Linked DNA regions of Drosophila melanogaster. The protein of the gene in region 1 interacts with the protein of each later gene in a pairwise test. Each region holds a gene or a part of one and is shown on either strand. Other genes may lie near its edges.

Region 1 (10,249 bases):
GCACCCCTCCACGGACGCGGAGCCCCAGTGTGCAGCGCCAGGAGACACTGGCACCATCAGAGATTCAACACCAGCTGGGCAACTGCGTCAACGTGCTGGTCAAATGGCATTATAAGCCCAGCCGGGATCGGGATGTGGGCACCCTGACCAACCTGCTGTGCGGGGACGATGGTTTGGTCAAGTGTCTGGAGCAGGTCTTCCTCTGCGGCTTCCGGTCGGCGCGATTCTTTGGACGAAATCTGTACATCTGGGACTATTTCAGTAAGACACATAGACATTAGGGCTTTAATTTGCTTTATGAATAAACCTTTTACCATTACAGCCAAAATCAAGGAGCTGTTTGAACACAATCTGCAGATGGAGCTGGAGGACTCATCCTCAAGCCTAGACTCCTCGTTTAGCAATGGAAGCGGCAGCGGAGGAAACAGCCTGCAACGTCGGGAAATCTCCAGCATTTGGCGTCTGTACGTACAGCTTATGGACGAGATCAACGGCACGGCACTCGGCAAGGACGGCAAGTTCCAGCTGCTTATCTGCTTGAGCTTGCGGGAGCACCTGCTGACGCGTCTGATAAAGCCAATGGCCTTGACCAAGGTGACGCACGAGATGTACGAGGAGGAGAGCTTCCTTAGGCGTCGCAACCTCCTCACCTTTCTCATCCAAATCCTGGAGCCGCTGGACGACTGCCACATCGTGCTGGAAAACTCAATCACACAGGGCATTCGCATCGCGTCCCAATGCTGAGGATCGGATGCAATACCTAACGCTCCCACTGCAATACTCATGCCACATCTCACCCACGGACATTTGCAACCAGTGACCTAGAGAATACTCACATACATATGCTCTTGAGGAATCTCGGAACTCTCGAATTCGTTGTTAGCTTTTAATGCGAAGCGGAGGAACTCCTGCCCCTATTACACCTATTTCTAGTTCTAACTATAATCCCAAGCCTAGCCACTAACCACTTGCCATTCGACCCTTCGACAGCTTGCCAAGAAACAGAGTCAAACGCTGAACGTTTTAGGGTAATGGATGCCAGTCCCGGGAACACTGAAGCCAAAGTTGAACAAAATTCCTTGTCATCGACGCAATCGAATTTTAAAGACATTTACTGTGCAATTAAGACGTTTACTATAACAAATTCTAAAATGTTGTTCAAAAATCTCCATATATTTGAAACGTATGCGTGTGTGTAGCTTAGTAGATAAGGTGTCCCAATCCGAAACCAAATCCAGTCAATTATCCTGAGTTCCATTATCAACAGTAGCTTTTAGTTTAGTTGATTTTACCAAAGAATCTTTGTTTTTTATAACGACCAACTTATGGCGTACATATTTTTTGTATATTATTATATTTTGGTACTTGAGTGAGTGAAATGAGATTAACCCAAAGGTGTTTATGTTATAATCAAGCTTTATTTTTACACTTTAGCCAAACACGTTTGCAGACACTACCTTAAGACCCTGAAAGTCAATAAATACAAATACGCAAATGATATATACGATTTAGTTCGAATACCGCTGGAAAATCTACAAAATTCTGGAAGTTCCGCACAGATATAAATTTAATAAGGTCGTTACGAAAGACAGCCAGTTACCAAATATATTGTTGACGCCATTGCGAGCAAATGTTATGCGAACTCAAACCCATGGTCAACAATGTGTTCTGCATCCCAAAACGTTGTCGGTCGCTTGGGAACATTGGACGCCATCTCTCGCAAAATGTTTCCAGGAGGAGCATATCTCACCACTAGGTATCGCGTTTCCTGTCTGCGGAAGACGCAATTATCTTGCACTTCGTCTTGCCATGGAGAAGTAATTTTATCAGATACTCACATTCTGCCTAGTCCAACGCCAAGTCTGGTGGAGGCGTTCCATATCATGGCCGTAAACCTGTAATACTTTGTGTTCTCGGCGAAGCCTCGGTAATGAAACCAAATTCGAACACATTCCCTAGGCAAGGCCTCCCGGAAAACGCAGACGACTTGAAGGTGCTTTGCTGATATTGGGTCCGTTGCATACAGGTATTCCAAGTAGTTCTCTGTATATACACCTTCATTCCTGACTATTTCCTAGAGGACGATGAAGACTGTTCAATTTTAAATAATTTAGGATTTTATACTGAGGCTGAAATACTTGCATCTGCGTATTCTGAGCACTCTGTACAGAGTTCTTCGTCCAGAACCATGGGCTGATTACCGTACTTGGCCCTCCTTCGATTGTGAGCCTCCAGGATTAAGGAGCGAAGACCTATGCCGATTGTCTGGTTGCACTAGAAGGAAATGGGTTCTCAGACTGAAGAAAAATGTTAGATCGTACTACCTCGATGGCGATTAAAAACAAAATAATTTTTATGCTCATTGCTTGTTACTTATTTCGCAGAAAGATTTTCCAGAATATGACAATTTTCACATAGTATTATTAAATACGCAAGGTTTATGGAAACTTTATTAATATGATTTACAATTTCGAGAATTCGAGATTTCATGCTGTGAATGAACATGTTACGTTTTTGCCGCAAATGGTAGGTTTAGGATTCATAGCCAGTGTTATTTTTGAATTATTATTAAATTAAATTTAAATTTGACACTTTATTGTCATTCTACAAATTTAAAAATTGAATTTTTAAACTATTTCGATAACTGTTTAAAGTTCATTCATTCCACGACCCAAAACAGTGAAAGTATTCGATAAGATATCGGTCTCCCCATGCGTCATCGATGGTATCGAAATGGAACTGATGCGCTTCCACCTCTAACAACTTTTGTTCACTAGGGTTATTCGAAGTTGTGTTTGTGTCCGACGAACAACAAACGAATTGTTAACAGACCGAGTGGGGTGACTTGTGGTCCGCGTTTCGTGTGTGTGTCATTCCAGACGAAAACGAAGATTTGCTTCGACAAGCAGAGAAAAGAAGGGACCAGCTCCAATCGATAATCGAAAGAACCGTTCCGAGTTGGAAGAAAGTGGAAAGTAAGTGGAGAGTGGAAACTATTTTGGTTCGGTGCGTTTTTTCAATGCGGGTCACTGGGAAATGCAGACACATTCACGGTGCCGAGCGGATGACGTGAGCAGAAGGGAGAGAGAGCGAAAGCTTGTTCTCTGTCTTTTCTACAGAGGCCGAATGTGCGTTTTGGATTCTTGCTCCTCAAGGCTTGTTTACATAATCACCGTCTCCTGCTCTGCTCTGCTCTGTTTATTCCCCGCGACGAACAGCTGCTGCGCTGCCACCGCTTATCGATTTTTTCCTTCTCGCTTTTTGCAGCCGGCAAGACGACGCCATTAATTGGCCGTCGCCACGTCATGCTTGTCGTATGATTTTTCGTGTCCGAACTTGCAGTAGGTGAGCACCCGCCCCACGCCTCCGCTCTCTCAACATCTCGCTCGATGACGCGTCATTTTGGTGGCGTACTTTACCCTGCGATCGTACGATTTCCCCAGCGGCAGCGTCATTCCAATGGGGCAAGTGTTAGTCACGCTACGTGCTCCACTTTCCCAAGCGCCTTTTTACCGTTGCGTTGCGTGGTCGCTCTTTTCCAGCCAAACATAACAGAGTGGCGGAGAGCGAGAGAGTGCACGCGCGTGTTTGGAGAGATCACACGCACTATCAGAGTCAGCTGTTTCGGCTTCTCAATGAACTTCGTGTTCGGTGCGTAGGCGACTGAGAAAAAGAGACGGACATATACATATTTATATATGAACAACAATAGTTATAGGGCATTGTGCAATTTTTCTAGACAATCTTATCACTCGCCTTGGAGCCCTAAAGCGCTGTAAATGCTAAGTAGGGTGCCCCAGAAAAACGTGCCAGTGTGTTAACTACAGTTCCTACTCCCAGACCGATAGTTCCCAGAGCGTTCTCACACGTAGCATCCGAAAATCACAGTTGACGTCAACTGGGTTTTTCGGCTTATTCCGTTAAGTCCATTATTGATAAGCCCACGCCCCAAGGTTATCAATGCAAATTGCTTGTGTGCACCATGGAGTACACCCCACGATCAGTCTATAATTGTACTCCGATCGTAGCTTATCAATGGCGAAAGCACTCGTACGCACGCAGATTTGAATAAAGCCCGAGGTAGTCTTTGATACTCAGTGGGCTTGGGCTCACACACAGAACTGTACTTTCGACCTTTTGCTGTTGGCCAAAAGCGAACGAACATCCAATAGGCAAACTCCAAAATCATCTCTTACTTTGCCGTGAGATTCGGCAGAGTTCTTCGGCCTGTTAGGAAATGTTAGCCCCAAACTATGAGGTTTGAAACAATAGTTAATTGTATTAAAAAATGTGTTTATCTCCTCACGCTTCCCGCATGATCTAATTTAATTTGTTGTACCGAGTTATCTGAACACATCCGGTTTTCGTAGTGACACGAAAAACGTAACTAAATAATTATATCAACCATTAAGGGTCAATTACGGTTACATTTTTAGAACGACTTGCTTTTGTTCTTAGTGTAAATTTTCCATTTGTGTAAATATTTGCAAAGATTCTCTATGTTTGTTGAGTGCTTTTGAGATAATGGAAGTGGTTCCAAGGATTTTATTTACTAGAAAATACTATTAAGCAGCACTTTATGGCCAGCTTCTTCAAAACTATATTATAGATTTAAGAACATGGCTTCAACTATGTATTCATTTATTGTATATGATTGAAGTAGTAGCAGCTAATCACGTGATTTAATTACGATCTTGCTAGTAGTTTCCCACATTCCCCGATCGCAGGGTTAGCCTGACCTCTGTCTGAAGAAAATACGTACGATGTGTAGTCCGTAGAAGTGTATTATAATGAAATAAGTCCGTGCTGATAGCGAACTTGGCCCGCCATACGTTTTGCCAGGCTGGCAAAGATCAGGCGGTGTGATTGTCAGACATGCAGGGTGTTTGTCGAGTGCTAACCATAATTAAAGGCGAATTTGTCTTATCGCTGGAAACAGTGAAACATGGCTCGTTTCCGCCAAACGCATTTATCGTGTTTCCAGATACCCGCGATTCGCGATTCGAGTGCAGCGGAAGCGGCCGTCAGGCGCAGAAATATTGTTCTTCTCCGAGATAAGTTAGCAGCAGGTAGTTCAGGGGATCTTATCTCTCACCTGCTTTTAGTGCCCGGCAATTTGGGAATCGATTTTACGGGTTCCACACTTGTCCACTTCAAATGGAAATCTCCCCTGGCTTTGTTTACGTTTGGATTCGCTTCAATGGAGGTGGCACTTCGTCACCACAGTTTAAAAGCCAAAGTAATTACAGTAGGCACTCGCCAGTGAGATTAGATATGTTTGACTTGCTTTGCTATTACTTAAGATATTTGTTTCCAAAAATCATCGTGATACGAATTCATTTATTATCGCAAATTGTTAAATCACTTATATTTTTAATCTAAACTAGTGGCACAGTGATTTGAAAAAAAAAGAAACTATAGAAATCGTGAGTCATTACTGCTATGTTTTCAGAAAACAAAGGAAATCCTAGTAATTATTAGATTAAGCAATCAAGGAAACAACATAACTTTTGTCATTATTCATATTTTCATACATTTGAAGAACTGAAAGGTTTCTTATAGCGAGCAGTGACTGTAGATCGTACGACTCTGACTTATGACGTACGACAGCTGAAGATTGCCGAAGGTGCCCGAAATTCGACTTGGCAACAGAATTAGCATGTCCACGGGGAAGGTACAATAAATTCGTTAAATTTCAAACAGCGCTTACATCAGATCCGAAATTATTCAGAAAATCTCTCGGATTTTATTTTTATGGCTTGAACTTGAACTGTAAGCGGCTTCCAAGTGACTCACGTCCAAGGCAAATCTTGAACACAAAATCAAGCACTCTGCTCCCCTTTGGAGTCGCCAGGAGGGACTCCTCCAGATAAGGTGTAGAAATCTCTGACGTATTCCCAATGCCAAGAAATATGCAGACGCTATCCACACACGTAGATACATATGTAAATAGGCATGTGTGCCACGATGAATAAACATGGGAAATCGTCTACCTAAAATTATTGTTAGCCACGCACGAGACAGCTGACCGCACAGTGGGCCTATTTACAATATTATCGAAAGAAGCATTTAAAAAATGAGGAATTTCTACTTTTTCTATGACGTATTGTATATTTATTATGAACAATTATGTAGTTCCAAGCAAATGCCCCAAAATACGCAATGCTAATTATGTACATATGTGCACATATGACGATCTTGTTTAATTATTTCGCACGCAGCATCGTTTTTTTTTTTTGGCACAAAAACTGATTTAGAACGACCTTCGGGAAATTCGTCATTGAAAATTCCCGGTAGCTGAAATAATATGTACATATGACTTAACTAATCCCAACTGTAACTTCCTGCGTGCTGCTTTTGCTGGGTGTGCCATGGAGCACGAGAGGATTGGCGCCCAGCTCTCGGGGGGAATGGGTCATCGTGTCCGGCTCACGTGTTCCGTCTGCACTTGTTTACGTAAAGTGGCGCTGCATACTCGGAACTAGTTCTGCGCTGGGTTGGCCGCCCACCCTGCTGCCTTCCCCGCCAGCGCTTCACTTGCTCATCATCCCGCTCCTATCGAGAGTACTACGTGTCTCTGTATGTCTATTATTACCGACACCGAGCCGTGTTGTTGTTTACCCGCTGTTTCAGTTGCGTTTTTTTTTTCTGCGGAATTTCTCTGGTGCGATGCGCGTGGCGAATTGAATCGGCCATTTGGCAATTAAAACTGAAATCGATTTGGCCGTGGCTCAACTTCGAAGAAAAGGGGCGTGGCTGGGGGCGCGGGGTCAGGTGTCACGTGTCGTCAGCGCAAAACAGTCAGAACTACTGCCACCCGAGTCATAAATATTTGGGTTAATGAAAAGGGAATATCTGATTACATAAAAATGGTTTCACAAGAAAGTATCTTTCCATTAGCTGCGCGAATGTGTAATATATTTTTGCTTATGCACCAATGCATTAAATTGTAGTTCAAAAATAACTTTGTTTATTTCGAATTGTTTACTGCTTTATTGGATTTTATTTATAAATTGCTTGGTAAACAAGTGCATATGTGTCGATTAAACAAAACAAGAATACAACTTGTGTTGGTTCATTGAAGTAAAATTGTTATTCCTTTTTGAGAAAACTTATTAACCCTTTGGCTAAAAGTTACAAGTTGGAGTGGTGGAAAAATTGGCAAAGGGAAATTTGAATAAAATCCAGCGAATGAAGAAATTTGATAAATGATGCTTGCAACTACATATAAACAGAATGCAAAGCTAACCAAATGCGGTTTCAAAGAAAAACTTTATAATTTCATAAGACTAAATGTGATGTAAACGAAACGTAACACACAAAATATGGGAAAGTAATGTAGAGCATTGATGGTAACCAATCTGTTTCTCGATCTCTTCCAGCTGAAAGTCAATTGAATCTCTGTTCCTCCGTCACCGCGTCGCGAAGCCGTTAAAACTGCCGCTCCCAAACATTCGCTGCGATGGCCACCTCATCGATACTCGCCAAAAGCACAATTAATAGCACATCGCCACCGGCCACGCCCAGCAGCAGCGCGTCCCCCGGCTCCACACTGACCACCCGGAAGCGGACCTACGAGATAGCCATTGCCATGCCCTCGTCCACCGCCTCCAGCAGCGCCACAAAGGTATCGGAAGTTCAGGATCAGCGCACAAACAGCCCCGGCAAGTCCAAGAGCAGGCCCGGCCAGCTGGAGAGTGTCTTGGTGGTCGGCGAGGGAGCCAGCGAGCCCACCACCTCGGCCACCACACTGCGGGACAGCACACGCACCATCTCACAAAGCGACGCCGACGATGGCGGCGAAGCGGCAGCCGCCGAGGACCTGCTGCCCCCACAGTCGGATTACCTCAACGGCGTCAAGCGGAAGTACGTCCCGCAGCAGCAGGCGTCGCCGAATCACCGGGTGGTGCCCGCATCCACCTCGCAGCAATTCTTCAGCGGGGCCTCCGATTTTGCGGTAAGTAGTCAAGAGTTAGGATGCAAAGTTAGTCTAAATCGTAGTAGCTGAAATCGTTTGAAATTGATGTTCGAGTCGTGAGTCGTATATTTCCGACGATGTGTGATAAGATCGAGAAAGAATGTGTAGACCAAGGACACAATCGTCCAGTTGAATAGCCCAACTAATCGGGAACTTTTCTTCCTGCAGACAATTTGCAAGCCGGCGCCCTACTCTCACGACGAGGAGGCCATGCTGGAGCGGGATAGATGTGACTACACTCAAAGGATCACCTACCAGATGGCCCGCTCCGGACAGACGACCCGCAGGGTGAGGGTCTACGCCGATGGCATCTACGATCTTTTCCACCAGGGCCACGCCCGCCAACTAATGCAGGCCAAGAACATCTTTCCCAACGTGTACTTAATTGTGGGCGTGTGCAACGACGAGCTCACCCACCGCATGAAGGGACGCACCGTGATGAACGGCTTCGAGCGATACGAGGGAGTGCGTCACTGCCGCTATGTGGACGAGGTATGTTCTGCCCGGCACTGATTAGAGATCTTTCAGTCTATAGCATCTTACTCTGTCTTGCAGATCGTCCAGAATGCGCCATGGACTCTGTCCGATGAATTCATCGCCGACAACAAAATCGACTTTGTGGCCCACGACGACATTCCGTATGTAACCGATGGCATGGACGACATCTATGCTCCTCTCAAGGCGCGCGGCATGTTTGTGGCCACGGAGCGCACTGAGGGTGTGTCCACCTCGGACATCGTAGCCCGGATCGTCAAGGATTACGATCTGTATGTGCGTCGTAATCTGGCCAGAGGCTATTCGGCCAAGGAACTCAATGTGTCGTTCCTGTCCGAGAAGAAGTTCCGGCTGCAGAACAAGATGGACGAGCTGAAGTCGCGCGGCAAGCGCGAGCTGAGCAAGGTGAAGGTGGACATCATCACCAAGTGGGAGGAGAAGTCGCGCGAATTCATCGACACCTTCCTGCTGCTGTTCGGACGTGAGAACCTGAATCATTTGTGGAACGAGTCGAAGGGCAAGCTGCTGCAGGCACTCAGTCCGCCGGGCAGCCCGTCGGGATCAGTGAACGGTGATGACACGGAGGGCGGCGAGGACTACAGCGAAACTATTGACGAGTACTTGGAGATGGCCGAGAAGTTGAGCGGGGGCAGCGGCAGCGGCAGCAGTGGATCGCTGAACGGCAAACAGAGGCCGAAGCAGAAGCGCTCCTCGCTGGCCCGCCGCAGTTACCAGAGTCTGCAGAGCCAATCACCCGACTTGGAAGCGGATGGGGACGAGGATGCGGATGCGGATGCGGAGTACGAGCGTCGAAGCAATTGATTCTATTGCGGGGCAGCCCGATCTTTTCTTCTTCTCTTAATGTCTTTAATGCTATTGTAAATGGACTTGCTTGCAACTAGTTCGACGGCACACTATAGATGCCCCAGGATCGCCACGCAGGCTCCACGAACACACACTTATATTTACTCTAGCCCTAAGTGGTATTGTAATCCCAATGTTTTAGTTGGCACTCGTTCTCCTCCTGCCTCAACTCCACCTGCCCATCTCCATCTGTGAGAATCGAGGGAATCCTGTAGCTAATTTAGCTGTGTGTGTGTGTGTGTGGGACAAGCAACCACCAACGCGGAAAAGACTCATTTTTGTATTAGGCACTCGACGGACTGTGCACGAAATCAATCGGCAGTGGCGGCAGATTCAGGTGCCGAAAATATCTAGAAATATTTATATTAAATTATTTCGCATAACATTAAACTAAGTTAACAACACCGCAACCAGAACACCAACCAATATAGAGAAATCCAAACAAACAAATTACGAAATACATTCGGAAAATGCAAAAAACAAAAACAAGTAATTAGTAACAGTTGGCAATAGCGGAACTATTGCAAATGCTTTGTTAAATATTTTTTGAAAAATAAACATTGAATCGAAAGGAAATAGAAGTAAAGCGAGTGGCTTGTGAATCAGTTTGCTATCTCATACGTTTATCCAGCAATTGCGCATCCGATTCAGCAGCCATCCATGGCACTGCTGGAATTCTTGAGCGCGCGCCACCGATGATGATGAAACCGTTTGCCTTGATTGGACACCCATTCCCTCGCAATTAGCTGCCCATTCACCGGCTTGAAGCGGTTCACTGATTTGTTTAATGGCGCTGCGGTTTATATATAGATGCGCACCCATCGCCTGATCGAATCGGCGGACCCGTGCCAAGTCAGGCGACCGACCCGTTGCTTCCTATTTGCTTGCGCCGCAATTTGCGGCAATTGAAGA
Region 2 (9,901 bases), 6.6 Mb from region 1:
ATTGTTTTGTCACTTTGCGTTAAGTTGAGTGCATTTGGCCGCAGTTGTGTTACCCAATGTTGATTAATATTTTTCCCAGTTACTTGCCAGTCATTCGATCATTTTATAAATTTGCTTTCTTTATTTGCAGATATTTGCGCATGTGACAAATTCGCAATTGGGGAATAGGTAAAAGATAAATTAAAACTAGGTCACAAATAGGTTCCAACAAAAACTGTTGAAAAATTACTTAGTAATTTGTTTATTAATCACTATGTAGCTCACGTCATAGTTAAGAAATTTCTAAAGAAGAAATACAGTAAAAATGAGATTTCCAAAATGAGATATAGCCTAACTTAGTCATCGTCGAGAATTACAAAGAAAAGGGCCAAGAAAATTTACTTGAATAAACGCTCGATGAGTGACTGCAGTCATAAATTTAAAAAAAAAACCATTGCACTTTATGATTTTAAAGAATCCCAGACATTTCTGTCGGTTCCTTCATTTGGCCCATCAGTTTCAGCGCTTTTCAGTTCTATTATAATTTACAACTACCATTAGTCAATCCAAAAAAATTAGCCAGGAGAATGCCAAGAAATAGTGATTGAATTGCCATTTGATGTTGATCAAAATTATTCACCAGCAAAGTGACAAGAAATACTCAAAATTCAGCTCGCAACGAAGCGAAAAGAAGCTGAAATAGGAAAACCAATTACCACAACGTTGGCAAATGCTTTTGGAGATGATTGAAACCGATGGAAGATCCATTCAAAAACATAAAAGAAACTGTCTAGAAGGCCAAAACCATCTGAACCCAGCCTGATCGGATTGCAAAGTTCACAGTGGATGATGATGATGCCGATAGACAGCGCTTTGGGGGAAATTTCATGCAGAAAATGGCATGAGTAAAACGAGAGGAGATCACATTGCCCAGATACTAGAGTACTTATGAAGGAGCACGGCCAAATGCCAGTGGATGCATAACGAGGTGCGAACAGGGTCAGCTCTGGTAGCCTTTAGCCATAGCCGTAGTTGAACTCAATCGAACGGTTGGTCGGTTGGCCAACAGAATGTGGCCTAAAGCAGGTACGTAAATTGTCAGCAAAGTGCTAAAGTTGGCTAGTGAGCGAGGGGAAATAGTGTTTCGATATATGATAGCAATGTAAAGATCTTCTATGCTTTCAACATAAACTGTTGTCGTTGAAGAATTCTCAACATTAGCAATCATAATACAAAATCGAAGTCTATATATTCCTTGTAAAGCAAGCCCATCTCAAGGTATTTTCTTTGGAATGTCAGCAATTGTTTAATATTCAGCATACGCCATGTTGTCCGTTGCATCAGCTAGCTGGCCAGTCAAGTTGCTCGTTGCTTTTAGTTTTTCCTTTATTTTTTATTATTTCCTATCTCGTTGCTTGCATTGTGGTATTTGCCTGCTACCATTTCAATTGATTTTCGCTTTTATGCCTCGAAATTGGAGTAAAATTGGAGGCAAGGTCAGCTTGCTGCTCGATGGCTTCGCTGGCCATCTGCACAATGTGGATGATCATGGAGCGAGGATGATGACGTTGACGTCTCACTCTCAGAACAAACAAGTTGTAATTGGGTCGACTTTTGTGTACTCGAGTCTCGTTTATGATTATAAACAACATCGGCACGAGAAGCCAAAGGCCTCACAAAATGGCCAAGTCATAAAAAACCTTTATCAAACGCTTCGCTGATCCGACAACTTCAATGATGTTTCTCTGTTTCCAGTTGTCTGTGCCCTGAGTTGTTGTTAGATCCCCCCATTTGTTGGGTTGTTTGCTTCGCGTTCGTGTGAACTGAGGAAGGACGACCTTTGGCTAGGCTTCGATTTGAAGATGACACCTTCGACCGGGGTTATACATTTCGTGATGTTATTGGGAATGACTCAGCCGGATGTTTGTTTCTTTACGGGCTCCATCGAATTGATTTCTGCTGTTTCATTTGAAGCCGTAGCTGCAATTTGCCTCTAAACGAGCTTGGCATTTGTTTACTTTATTTTAGTGCTCTGTTGTTTTCGGCAATGAAATTATCATAAATTGTTATTGTTCCATTGGCGTGGGATTGTATGGTGCAAATTTATTAGCTAATGAAACACATAGATTTAGAGAGTTTAAAAACCAAGCTAAAAATTTAGATTGTCCGTACGAATTTCTCTTTCCACTCATAATAAGTACAAAAGCTGTTTATATAGAATTTGTAATTTATTTTTGTATTATCAGACTTGTGCGAGTAAAATGTTATTGAATGGCATCACATATTTTTAAAATTCTTGGAGCTATTAATTGGTTAACCATGGTATCGGCGGTTCATCCCGACATTACGGTCACGTACGCCTCTTGATAATAGCCATATTGGCCAGGTGCAGGATGCGATTGAAATCCACTTTGACGTGGGCACGCCAGAACTTACAGCGTCCCCAGATGACAGCCGGATAGTTCGGGCTCATGATGCCATGAAAGATGCGCGCAATATTACGTCCGGTAAATGTATTGTCCGGGTACATGTTTATTAGAGCATGAACGTCGTCTATGATGTTCTCATCCGGCACGTTACTTGGCTAATGGACAGAGAGGAAAGCAATAAAAGTAAGAAATTGAAATGTGTTGCCAAGCAATTACCTCTATTTCCAGCTCCAGATCCTGTGGGTAGTCATTGGCAAAGTAGTTGCGCACGATAGCCTTTAGCTGCTCGCCCCGATCCTGCGGAAAATCCGCATTGCAGCACTGGCCACAAGAGCTGTAGGCCACAGCAGCCAATCCATGGGCCACATATTGCAGCTGGATGAGCTGCGTACGCTCCTGTTTCACGGATCGCGTATAGAGAGTGTCCAGAGCGTTGTCGATCTCTGATTCGGTAAAATCGCCCGGCACCTTGATGCGGAATCCCAAATCATAGAAGCTCACCGTGATGGGCGATCGCTTGGGATATCCATTTACTATCGAAAAATTAATTTCTAATTAAACGGATCCTTTTTTGAACGGATTACCATCTCACCTTTTACCCACTCCAGATCCTTCAGTTGGTATTTGACCACACCACTGTTCCAGCCAATTCCTGCCGCGATATCTGTGACCGAGAATTCTATGATGTTAGAGTCCTCCTTGAATGTCTTATCTCTAATCTGCAAAGCAATAGCCATGGCCAATGGTGGACATTCCTTTGCAGCATGCCTGTGCAAGGAAAAACCAATAACATTAAACACATACACAATACACGTGTCTAAAGGACTTACTTCAAGTACTTTGGCCCACCATACGAGATTACCTTAGCCATCACATATGCTGAGCTGAGCACACTGATGCACCATCGGGGATCAAGCTCCATGTAGCAGAGCAAAGTAGATATGTTCTCCGCCGGGATGTCCAGCATCTCAACGGTTTTCTCCACGGAAAAGCCAATCTCGTGTCCCGGACACATATGCACTCTAGGACCATCACCTTCAAGGGGAATCGGAAGAGCTGTCCTCTTGGAAGCCTCCTTGTCACAGCTACATGGCACAAAGATCTTTTGCAGCAGCTTACGGATAACATGCCGATCAATGGAGTTAGAATACACATGGCGACGCAGCTCACTCTGGTCGCCACCCTTCGCATCCAAGAAGAGGTGACAGTGGGAAGGCAACCCGTCGCGTCCTGCTCGACCAATTTCCTGCACATAGCTCTCAAAGTTTCTTGGCATATTATAATGGATTACCGCGCGTATGTCCGGCTTATTGATGCCCATACCAAAGGCAATGGTGGCCACCACAATGCGCAGCTCATTGCTCATGAAGGCCTTCTGAACGGTTCGTCGCCTGGAAGCGGGCATTCCAGCGTGATAGGGCTCAGCCTGCCAATTCACACGTTTACGTTTTTTCGTCTGATCCTGAGTTGGCTCCCTACGGTCTTGCACGCACGTTCTAATAAACCCAGCGATACGCTCACACTCGTCACGACGCGTACAATAGATAATAATGGACTGGCAGGGCTCGAAGCTAGAATGATCAAAATGTATTTAAGTCTCCTTCAAGTTTCAAAGATGGTGGGCCAAGTCTTACCGTTCGCTATTGAGCAGTTGGAGCAGAGCTGCATCCCGGTTCTCATCCTTGGAGACGGACAGCACTAGATTGTCAGGCAGTGGGATGTCGCTTATAATACCACGTTCTCCATCCGATATGCCAAGGTGATTTATAATGCTAACACGCGTTGGCAAAGTTGCCGTGGCTGTTAGCCCCAGCACTGTGCGTACACCGAGATTCTTTCTCAGCACCTTGCAGATCATTAGGTAGCTGGGTCGAAAGTTGTGACTCCACTGAGACACGCAATGCGCCTCATCAATACAAGCGAATGCAATGGGCGGCAGCTGGCGAAGAATGGCTCCAAATCCTGTGGCTCGTTCCCCGGCGACAACCGCCTCCGGAGAGACAAGAAGAATGTCAATCTCCCCATTGGCAATCATCTGCTGAATCTTCATACGCTGCGGCGCGGTCTGATTAGTGTGCAGGCAGTGAGCTCGCAGAAAGTGCGGCACCCCGGTCACCTGATCCTCCATAAGTGACACCAATGGTGAGATGACTAGGGTAATAGCTCCCACTTTCCGGCTATACAAATAGGCGGGCAATTGGTAGCACAAAGATTTGCCGCTGCCCGTGCTAAGTGTAACTAGCGATGATAGTCCAGAGAGAGTGCGCATGATGGCGCGATCTTGACCTTTCCTGAAGTTGGTGTGCCCGAACATGTGGAGTGCCTCTAGGACCTCTGGCGTCGTGTCCTGGACACTGCCATCCGGAAGGAGATCGTATAGGGGCTTCACCCCACCGTGCTGGCTGCGATTCGAACTAGAGGCTGTGGTGTCCAGTCCAGCCTGCTTGAGGAACTCCTCGGGAATCTTGTGGCCGACGTATGTCTTAATAGGTGAAGCTGCTTTCTCTTGCGAAACCGGTTGGCTTAGGGAAGCTTCGACGGCCGCATCTAGGGCCTCGAAATCAACGTCCATTTCATCGCTAGACCAATTTGGATCTGGATGCTGCTGTACCTCCTCATCTCCGCTGCTTTCTTGGTCATCTTCCTCTGACTCGTTCAACTCATCGCCTTGCAGGATGGCTGCATTGGCCGCTTGGGGCAGCCGTGAGATGTTGCGACTGTGTGCCACCACTGCTCCCTGACTGGCCATCTCCTGAGCCTCGGCAAGCGTGGGAAACGGCGAGGGATCCTCTTCCAGCTGTGCCGAAAGTGGCAACAAGCTGTCTCCCTTCACCTTGCACTGCTGAGCGAAATGCCCGACTCCGCCGCACTGGAAGCACGTGAGCACTCCGCCATCACAGCCACCCATATCCATGTCCGGCCCACTCAAGGCAGCCACTCGTTTCTTATGCCGCCACTGTTGCTTCTTGTACTTGCTGAAGTTCACGGACTTTTTGCCACGCACGAATTTTTTCTTTTGAATATTTATGGTCACAAAGTTCTCGTTTAATTTACCAGCTGCTATGCGTTCCTCCAGCTTCTTTCGTGCTGCGGCTCTCTTTTCATCCACTCGAATGTTGGACCCTTCCGACAATCCTGGGTTGGGTCCAGCGGCGAAGGTTCTAATATAGCGCTGGGCGGTAGCATCCGCTTCTTCTAGATCCTGCACATTAATGCGCGGAACGGAGGTAATATCTCCCGCCTCCAAGGCCAACACGTATTTCAAATCTTCTGGATTCAATGGTTGGCGCTCATCCTCTTCTGGATCAGGAGCCGGCTCGACAGCGATGGCTTTTTTAGAGTTCCTCGGCTTTTTCTCCGCCTTGGGTTTCTTTTCGGCCTTGACTTTGGCTTTCTTTTCTGTTTTCGGTTTTGGTTCCGCTTTGGGCTTAGTGGTCTTTTGTTTTCCGGCGGCTTGCTTGCGCTTTGCCTTATCTTTCTTTTTATTCTCTGGTACATATGTAGCATCCTGGTCTTCATCTGCAGAGAAATCTGGATTCTCTTGAGCAAATGTTTCTGTCTCTGGTTCGACTTTGTTGGGAATTTCAACTGGGGCGGCTACTTCCACTTTTCCTGATGCTGTTGAAACAATTTTGCGACGTTTTGATAGTTGCCGATATTCTTGTGGTTCCTGCTCTTCTTCACTCTCAGCCACAACAGAGTCGGAATCCGAATCGGTTTCCTGCTCGGAAGGTGGAGGTTTATTTTTAGGAGCGACTGATTTTTGACTGGATGCAGGAGGTGTGTGATTAAGATGATCTGGTTTCTGGTTCATGCTAGAATTCATATCTGTTTGCAGCTCCTGTATGATTGCCATTTGATCGGGCTTGGCCTGCAACACTTTTTCCTCCTTAACAGTGGGCTTTAGTTTACTTAAATCAAGATTGGCCAGGCCAAAGTTTGTTTTCTTGGACGTACCACTGTTATTATTTGCTTCCGCAAAGGGCACTTCTTCATCAAGAGTGTTTTCCTTTGTATTTCGCCGGAGCCAGCCGTCGTCCACCAGTGTTTTGATACTTTCCTTGCTGTGCTCACTGGCCAGCATTGGATTGTTAGCTATGGCCTGCTGCTTCTCCTTGTACTCCTGGGCTTTGCGTATGAGTATGGTCTCAAAGTCGAGCAGTTCCTCGTGATGATCAGTAGGAACTGAGCTAAGTGATGTGGTGGAACTAGAGGAACTGACACAACGTGAAAGCGGCTTTCGGGGATTTCGTTTAGCAAAACCGCGTGAGGATTGGAATAACTTGGCACTCAAGCTGGGCTTAAGACTAGCGCCCGCTTTGGGTTGCTTTCCGTGCCCCGGAGCGGATTTGGAGGCCTCTACAGGCTGTGGTGGAGCTGGTGGCTTCTTACTCACATTCAAGCCCCAGGCATTTTGGTTGATTGGCAGCTCCTCCACCGCCTCGAATTTGCGAATGACATGGTTTTCATCGCGATTGACCAGATTGGTGAGTACTTGACGATTGGGCAGGTCGATGAGATTTGAGAATGAGCCCTCCACCGATTGTGGAATTTCCTCAAGATTACCAGAGCTCTGCGGCCCCACCAGTGCAGATATATCCAACGGTAGCTGAGGACCTTCATTAAGACTGACGTCCTGGTCCAGCATGCTCACACCGAAATCACTGGCCTGCGACATCTCCAGAATATCGTATCCATCTTCGCTGAGAACATCGTTCAGCGTCTCTTCCAGGAAGGATGTCTTCAGTTTGTAGTACATTTTGTATGAGTCCCGAATCTCCTGACTGGCGTCCCTTATATCATACTGCAACAGGTCAACCAGTTAGCATACTTGTCATATCCGCATCCCAATCTCACCTTCGATGGAACACGGCCATTCTTCTTCTTGAAGTCCTTCTCCCACACCTTGACGCGCAACTTGTACTTTTGGTATTTTAGCTTGAACACCGAATCGTCCATGTCGGCGGCTGTCTTTAATTGTCAATATTATGAGGAAACCAACATTGGAATCAGATTTCGTTAACTAATAAACCAACACAAGTGCAGCTGTTTTGCTTAGCGCGCGCTTTTTCACCGACCTTGCCAGACCAATGGCCATGTGACAGAGTGGCCAGACTATCACATGCTGGGACAGTGGGCAAAAATACAATAATCTGCTTAAAAAAAATAAAAACTTGTCATCTTTAAAAGAGCAGCAAAATAATTTATTGTCAATTATAGGCAATAAAGGTCCAAGTAAACGTTACATTTTTATTGATATTGCTGCGCATTTTATACAATTTGTGTTCGTTCTTGTAGTAAAAAATATCGAAGCTTGGCCGTTGCAAAATGCAATTTTCACAATGATGCTATTTAGGTGTATGCTCGCAAAGGGCTTTCCTCGCTGGAATAACTGAAGATTACAGGTAATAGCTACGTAAATAGGAGCAAAGCAAAGCAGCCGCACGGCACTTCCAGCAGGGTGAAGAAAGCGGAGGAGGGGAGCTGTGAAAGGCAGGGCGAGAATGTGAGCTTAGGTGACAAGGTGACTACATGAGTATCAGAGCAATCTCCTCCGGCTGCATCGATGGACAGCGCCAATTGTAGAGGTAGTACTGCAGGTTTCCATCCCCGGCGCCGAATTTTAGCGGTGCAAAGTACTTCTTGTTCTCCATGAGGTCGAGGGCATTGTACACGTCCATCTGGACATTGCGGGCCGAGATCAGTGCATCGTTCATCAGGTCCAGCCACGGGGTCTTTGTAGACACATTATAGAACGAATATGCGGCACGAACCGTCTTATGCACCGGATGGTGCATCACGGACGATGGCAGGCAGTAGTAGCTAGTCAGATCAGTGATGTTGCCCTTTTCGTCGGCAACCACGAAGCAATCGATAATACCTTCTTTGGGGGTAAACCAATGACGAAACTCTTCCTTGCTGAACACCGGGCTCAGCTGAAAGCGCTTTAGGTAGTCCTCCAGCAGCTTGTGGGCCTTGTCCATGTCCTTCGCTGTGATTCGGCGATAGCCCTTCGTCTTGGGCTGATCGGGTAGCTTGTACAGCTTCATTGTCCGCTGCATGGTCATGTTACGTGCGAGATGAGAGAAACGCACGTCTACCAGCTTCTTGGGATTGAGCGATCGATGCCAATAGCGACAGGTGGCCACTGGCGTGGGCAACACAACTCCAGCTGTATAGGCCGCCTGGAAAATCCCCGTCAGATTGACGCGACGCGTTATCTCCCGAATCAGGACTGGAGCCACCCGTTTGCTGCGCAACTTCTTGTGGACGCATAGGAAGTTGATGTCCACAACCTTTAGCACCTTGTCGTACGACTTCAGCTTGCTGGGAATGGCTGAGATGAAGCCAACCAGTTTGCCGGACTTCTCCACACGAACGCCAACATGCCAATCGCGTTTCCAGCCAGGTGGCTGCAGCGACCACTTTAGAAACTCGGGTTGGTAATCGAAACGGAACATGGCATCATCGTCCTCCACATAGTTCTCATTGAGCAGCGTGTACAGCTCCTTGAGATCATTGGCGTCGTTCAGGTCTAGTGTCACCCATTTGAAGCCGCCTGGCAGAGTGTATGGCAATGCTCTAATCTCACTAATTTCCTTGTTCGGTTCAATGCATTCGTTGGTGGTCACCTGCTCGTCCAGCTTGGTGACTGGCTGTGTGGACCAAAATGCAAACTTCTTGGCCATCTGACGGGTGCTGGCCATAGCATCGGAAACGGCTTGTAGCAAGGCCTGTTTGCCTGAAAGAAACGATGATGCGTTGAATAGTATTATAACATTTTTCGATTAGTTTAAACTGGAATGACTAATCTGCCCCAAAAAAAGCTTAAGGCATCACGACAGTGGACTAGTTTCCCATGACAACAAATTTGCCCAATTTTGGGGTTTCAATGAAGCATCAATCAATGGAATCAACAAGGTAGAAATCTTATATTACACATATTTTATTCGTAATAAAAAACTCAATTGTATCTATGTAAGTATATTCATATTTCATCAAAATCAAATATGTATTTATGATTTATGAGTTGTTTATTTTTCCGTTAGGGCTAATCTTTGGAGTAATTGCACAGAAAATGAAAATTGAAAATTGAATTGAAATGAATAGCACAGCAGTTCAAGTTAGAGAGGTTGGACTGTAGTTCCCGACAAAACCTAACCTCATTTTTTCAGCCGCAGGAGGAGCCTCTAAATGACTTTTCACAGGCATATTGAAAACTTACTTGCATTCGCAGACACTGAAGCCTCATTCTTGGCACCATCAGGCTGCTCCGCATCCTCGTTTCCTGCTGCATTCGTCGATGCCGTGTCCTGGATATTTAAGCCGGCAACAACCTTTTCGAGCATTGCCTCCGATGCGTCGGCCACCTCCTTGGCCTTCTGCTTTAGCTCTTGACCCGAGAGGTCCTCTGCGTTTTCGTTCGGCATATTTTGCACTGTATTTCTTTTTGAACAGTAAAGCAAATTAAAATTGCAATGAAATCGCAAAAC
Region 3 (4,977 bases), 7.2 Mb from region 1:
AATTTGTGTAGCGCCAATTGAATGTTATAAAAAGCTTAGTGCGGCAGTTTGGAAAGTGGAACGGTTGTGTTTATAATTTTATTGTAATTTTATCTCAATTTTTTTTGCTTTTGTATATAAATTCTACCAACGCAGCAGAATTTTCAGGCCACTGCCTTGACTTCACTGTGTCACTGAAAAATCGGTGTCAAGCTCTCGGCACCGTGGGGCAAAGCAACTGCAATACTGATCGAAACTATGCGGATCCGGAGCACGAAGAGTCATGCGGTCGGAATCTTACGTAATGGGTCTCGTCTCTGGTAGACGATGGCGTAAGCACAGACGCCTGCTATCTGGACCGGCCCGAATTGAGAGCCAGCATTTTGGCCAGTGCGGATTCGGCCTGGCTGCACGTCTCCGGCGGCGTCTCAAGATTGCTGGACAAAGAGGCGAGGCCTGGAACTGCGTCTGCGGGAACCCGGAGAGCCGAAACTTGCATCATATTCGTCACGTAAGAGTTGGGCCTCTGCCTGGATCTGGTATAAAAACAAAACATTGCGCCAGAATAAGACATTAGTTACCTTCGCATCGATCAACTAACCAACTCAGCCTCAGAATGATGAAGTTCATGGTAAGCCTTAAGTTCCAATATTGTTTCTATTGACACCTCAACTGAGTCCAGTATGATCCTTTCAATAAAATATAACTACATATTATAATAATTGGATAATATGATTGGATCTTTCTTTTCTAATACACTTCAGTCTAAACCCAAATTAATTGAATTTTTTCTTGAATCCCTTAGTGCATCTGCCTCTGCGCCATCTCTGCCGTTTCGGCCAACTCCTACGGACGTTCCCGTGGTGGATACGGTGGTGCCCCAGTCGGTGGCTATGCCTACCAGGTGCAGCCTGCCCTGACCGTTAAGGCGATCGTTCCCTCATACGGTGGTGGATACGGCGGAAACCATGGAGGATATGGCGGTGCCTACGAGTCGGTGCCTGTGCCCGTGTCCTCTGCCTACAGCGGTGCCAATGTGGGATCTCAGTACTCCGGTTCCGGCTACGGCGGTGCCCCACCAGTTGATGCCCAGGCCATTGCCCTCGCCAAGCTCGCCCTGGCCGCTCCCAGCGCTGGAGCTCCTCTGGTCTGGAAGGAGGCTCCCCGCTACGCCCAGCCCGTCTATCCCCCCACCAGCTACGTGAACCAGGAGTACGGACACAGCGAGAAGGTGAAGGGAGGCTCCGCAGCCGCTGCTGCCAGCTCCGTGGCCGCCGGAAAGAAGGGCTACAAGAGGCCCAGCTACTAAGTGGCAAAACGTTGAACAGTGAACCAAAAACTTACCTGCCCATAAGGAACTAGGTCATAATAATAAAAGCCAAAACATCAAGACTTAAAATTTTGAGTACTGTATTCTTGCTGGGTTTTTAGTTTCGGGCCGAGAATTGAGATCTGCATATCTTAGCTGAATTGGCATAGACTTGCGGTTCATTGCAATGCCAAGCGATACTTTGAGCCAGCAAAAATTTCGTGGTTTCGTAGTTAAATGAAAATGCTGCTTAAAGTGCTAAAGAATAATTCTCATGGCGAATGAAGCTGAAAAGCTAAAACTAAATTCATTTGTGGGGCCACTTTAAAACTATAGTTCGTCAAATAAGCCTTGACTTTTTTAAGTTACCATAAGTAAAGAACCTATTAGATAAAATGAGATTAGATAGAATATAGTTTTGCTTGAAATTATGTTTTTGTAAAATTTCAAAATGATTGAAATACTTTAAAATGTTTTAGTTATAATTTTAAGTTTTGTATGTGACTAGTGGTCACTTTAAAGGGATGATTCTATATAGGTTTTATCAGAAAAACCGGCTGGAACCAGTTCTAGAAGAATCCTCACTTAGACAAGCCAAGTTCCGGACACAACCGACCTGGAAACCATTACCCCCGAGAATGTGGATAATATAAAGTTCAATTCAACAAATTTTGGACTGTATTCGAAAATAAACGCGTTCGTGGTTCCCATTTGGAAGAGTCGCGTGTTCGTAGTGCTATCACTACCCAACACCCGGTAGAATAGCACATCGCGTAACCAAGCGATTTTATAATGGCTTGACAACAAGTACATAAATCAAATGTGAGTATATTCCAGCCGGGCAATTATGAAATGCCATTTCTGGGCTGAAACAGAACAATTAGTGTATATAGGTCACGTAAATGTCCAGGCTAAAATTTGCGTATAAAAGCGAGCGTTTCTGGTCGGTAAATCATAGTTTGATTGATTACCCCAAACCAACAAAACTAAGCACTCACCATGAAGTACCTGGTAAGTTGTGGTAGTCCCCGTGAAGGAGTGGCAGCCAACTGATCCTCCGGATTTCCCCTTTTCACCTTCAGATTGTCTGCGTTACCCTGGCCCTTTTCGCCTACATCAACGCCAGCCCAGCGTACGGCAACCGTGGAGGTTATGGTGGTGGCTACGGTGGTGGCTACGGTCCTGTTCAGCGCGTCGTCTACGAGGAGGTGCCCGCCTACGGACCATCCCGTGGCTACAACAGCTATCCCCGCAGCCTGCGATCGGAGGGTAATGGAGGAAGTGCCGCTGCCGCTGCCGCCGCTTCCGCCGCTGCCGTGAATCCCGGAACCTACAAGCAGTACGCCATTCCCTCCTACGAGTTGGATGGCGCTCGCGGCTACGAGATCGGACACGGCTACGGCCAACGTGCTTACTAATTCTCGCTTCATCGGCAGTGAATTGAACTATCGACTCCTTGCTAAAATCCTCGAGTGGCTGTCATGGCGAAACTCTGAGAATCAGTGAATAAAAGCAGCTTGAACGCAATGGAAAATACCGAAAAGAAATACGTATTGTGTGTTTTGCATTGTGACATACTTTTCAGCGCATTCGGGTTAAGATTTAGCGGTGGGTCATTATTATTATTCCACACACAAGATGGGTTTCAAAGTGGGGCAGCTAGAATATTCACTGCGGCAGATTGTACAATACTATATAGAAGTACTATTGCACTTTAAGCTACAAAGTCGACAGGTTAAGCTTCAGTGACTCAAGAATTTAGTCACCTATGAAACCCTTAGTTTCACTAATAGATTCTTAGACGAACATCTTAAATTGTATAATCAAACAAAGGGCTATATATATTACAATAACATATTTGCCAATGTGCATAAAGGCATAGACTCTGAAGTTATGTTTTATCGTTAAAATTTGGTTTGTTCTGTTTACTTGAAGGTATAGATAATATTATAAAATCCATATCCAATAACCATTGGTCAGTCGTTGGCCCGTTATCCCATTAACCCGCTTGCGTTCCCGCACGCACCCAAATGCAACCATTGATTTTGGGCCTCAGTTGGGAGCATCTGCATCTGCCACCCCCAACGAAGGTCAACCGGCGAATGGAGGCGATACGATACGCTGCGGTGAGCAACCTGCTCGAGCCGAAACGAGCTCAACGTGGAGCCCCGATATCTGGCTAGGAAAAGCTAGAAATCCACAGAAAGTTCCCCAACAAACTGGCCGAGAAGAGACGACGAAGCCAGCTCTTGAGCCGTGATAAATTTCTGGGCGAGATCACGTTTCGAGTGCAACAATAAATTTGCTTATATAAAGAAGTGTGCTTGGCCATTTAATATGTTAATTCAGCCAACTGTGCCAAAACCCATACATCATAGCCATGAACAAGTTCGCTGTAAGTGTCCCTGAGAACCGCTTCCGTATTCCCTGCCGCTCTTTCATTTTCCGGACTTATGCTAACTGAAAGTTTTCCTGATTTTCCAGACTCTGGCAGTCATCTTCTGCGCCTGCATCGTGGGCAGCTGCTACGCCAACTACGGTGGCCAGCAGAGCTACGGACAGCGATCTTACGGTCAGGATAGCTCCGCCGCCTCCGCCGCCAGCTCAGCAGCTGCTGCTGGAGCCGAGGGTCAGCAGCGTTATGAGCGCCCCGTGGAGATCATCGCCGGCGGTTACCGCGGCAGCTATGCCCCCGAGATCCTGCGTCCCATCCAGGTCAGCGGTGGATATGGCGGTGAGCGACGTGGCTACAACGGTGGCAACTACCGTCGTGCCGGCTACGGACCCCGTTGGACTGTCCAGCCCGCCGGTGCCACCCTCCTGTACCCCGGCCAGAACAACTACAAGGCTTACGTCTCGCCCCCGGAGTACAGCAAGGTGATCCTGCCCATCCGCCCTGCTGCTCCAGTGGCCAAGCTTTTCGTCCCAGAGAACCAGTATGGCAACCAGTACGTTAGCCAGTACTCTGCACCCCGCAGCAGCGGCTACTAAGCGCATACTTGATTATCCCCAGCCAACCTGGCGGATACTTGATCTCAGCCTGATCGTGTACATAATAAACAACAAGAAAAAATCATAATCATATTTGGAATATATATTTTTCGGGGCTTTTAGGTATTTTTTTGTATATCTATGAGAAAACAAATTTTCGGGTCTTTCGAGCTCAAATGCAGCTGCAGCAGCTGTTCAGAGCGGGTGGAGCATTGTTCATTTGATTGCAGTCGCCACCGGGAATGTCTTTGAGTGGCTCGGCGGAAACGTGCTCCGGATTTGCTTGCTCCGGTTCGCTCGCAAATCACTCAGCAAGCCATAAACAGTCAATTATTTATTGTGTCAGTCAGTCAATAATCTTGAGGCCAGAAAGCGCCACAGTTCGCCGTGTTTGCCGATTGCCGCGCTCATTTTCATATTTTCTGTATTCTGGCTGGTAAGCAATCGCATCTGCTGACTTGTTTGGGGCCAAACTCTTGGCCAAGAGCTTCAATGTTGCTGGCCATCGCTTGACATTCGAGTCGAGCGGTGAATCACGGCAAGAATTCTGGCATCGAGTGCGGCACAATTCTTGGGAAAACTTGTCGTTGAAATTAAAACCATGTGTGTAGAGGTTTTGTCTGTTTGAATAATTTTAATTTTTCGTAAAAGTGAATTTATGTTTTGTGTTAAGCCGAAATATAAATAAAGTTTAATAT

Evidence for each region. The genes of interacting proteins can lie anywhere in the genome.
Region 2: the proteins of Pcyt1 (region 1) and RecQ4 interact in a two-hybrid assay, tested with the Drosophila melanogaster proteins (one large-scale study listed by BioGRID).
Region 3: the proteins of Pcyt1 (region 1) and Cp15 interact in a two-hybrid assay, tested with the Drosophila melanogaster proteins (one large-scale study listed by BioGRID).

What each region holds. Positions count from the first base shown.
Region 1 is NT_037436.4:1,543,332-1,553,580, forward strand, and holds Pcyt1 (phosphocholine cytidylyltransferase 1), read left to right. Parts: upstream 1-2,760; 5' UTR 2,761-2,975; intron 2,976-3,267; exon of another isoform or gene 3,268-3,345; intron 3,346-4,000; exon of another isoform or gene 4,001-4,258; intron 4,259-4,933; exon of another isoform or gene 4,934-5,069; intron 5,070-6,116; exon of another isoform or gene 6,117-6,579; intron 6,580-7,382; 5' UTR 7,383-7,462; coding exon 7,463-7,957; intron 7,958-8,146; coding exon 8,147-8,470; intron 8,471-8,533; coding exon 8,534-9,295; 3' UTR 9,296-10,173; downstream 10,174-10,249. Other genes in the region: pns (pinstripe), read left to right, coding at 1-261, 323-744; CG32313 (uncharacterized protein), read right to left, coding at 1,634-1,772, 1,839-2,074, 2,143-2,274, 2,322-2,363.
Region 2 is NT_037436.4:8,168,490-8,178,390, forward strand, and holds RecQ4 (RecQ4 helicase), read right to left. Parts: upstream 7,490-9,901; 5' UTR 7,368-7,489; coding exon 7,266-7,367; intron 7,213-7,265; coding exon 4,043-7,212; intron 3,980-4,042; coding exon 3,239-3,979; intron 3,177-3,238; coding exon 3,001-3,176; intron 2,942-3,000; coding exon 2,625-2,941; intron 2,564-2,624; coding exon 2,330-2,563; 3' UTR 2,151-2,329; downstream 1-2,150. Other genes in the region: Nmt (N-myristoyl transferase), read right to left, coding at 7,937-9,150, 9,634-9,838.
Region 3 is NT_037436.4:8,726,240-8,731,216, forward strand, and holds Cp15 (chorion protein 15), read left to right. Parts: upstream 1-2,241; 5' UTR 2,242-2,287; coding exon 2,288-2,299; intron 2,300-2,370; coding exon 2,371-2,706; 3' UTR 2,707-2,827; downstream 2,828-4,977. Other genes in the region: Cp18 (chorion protein 18), read left to right, coding at 596-610, 785-1,288; Cp19 (chorion protein 19), read left to right, coding at 3,669-3,683, 3,773-4,279. UniProt on the Drosophila melanogaster protein: Chorion membrane (egg shell) protein; plays a role in protecting the egg from the environment.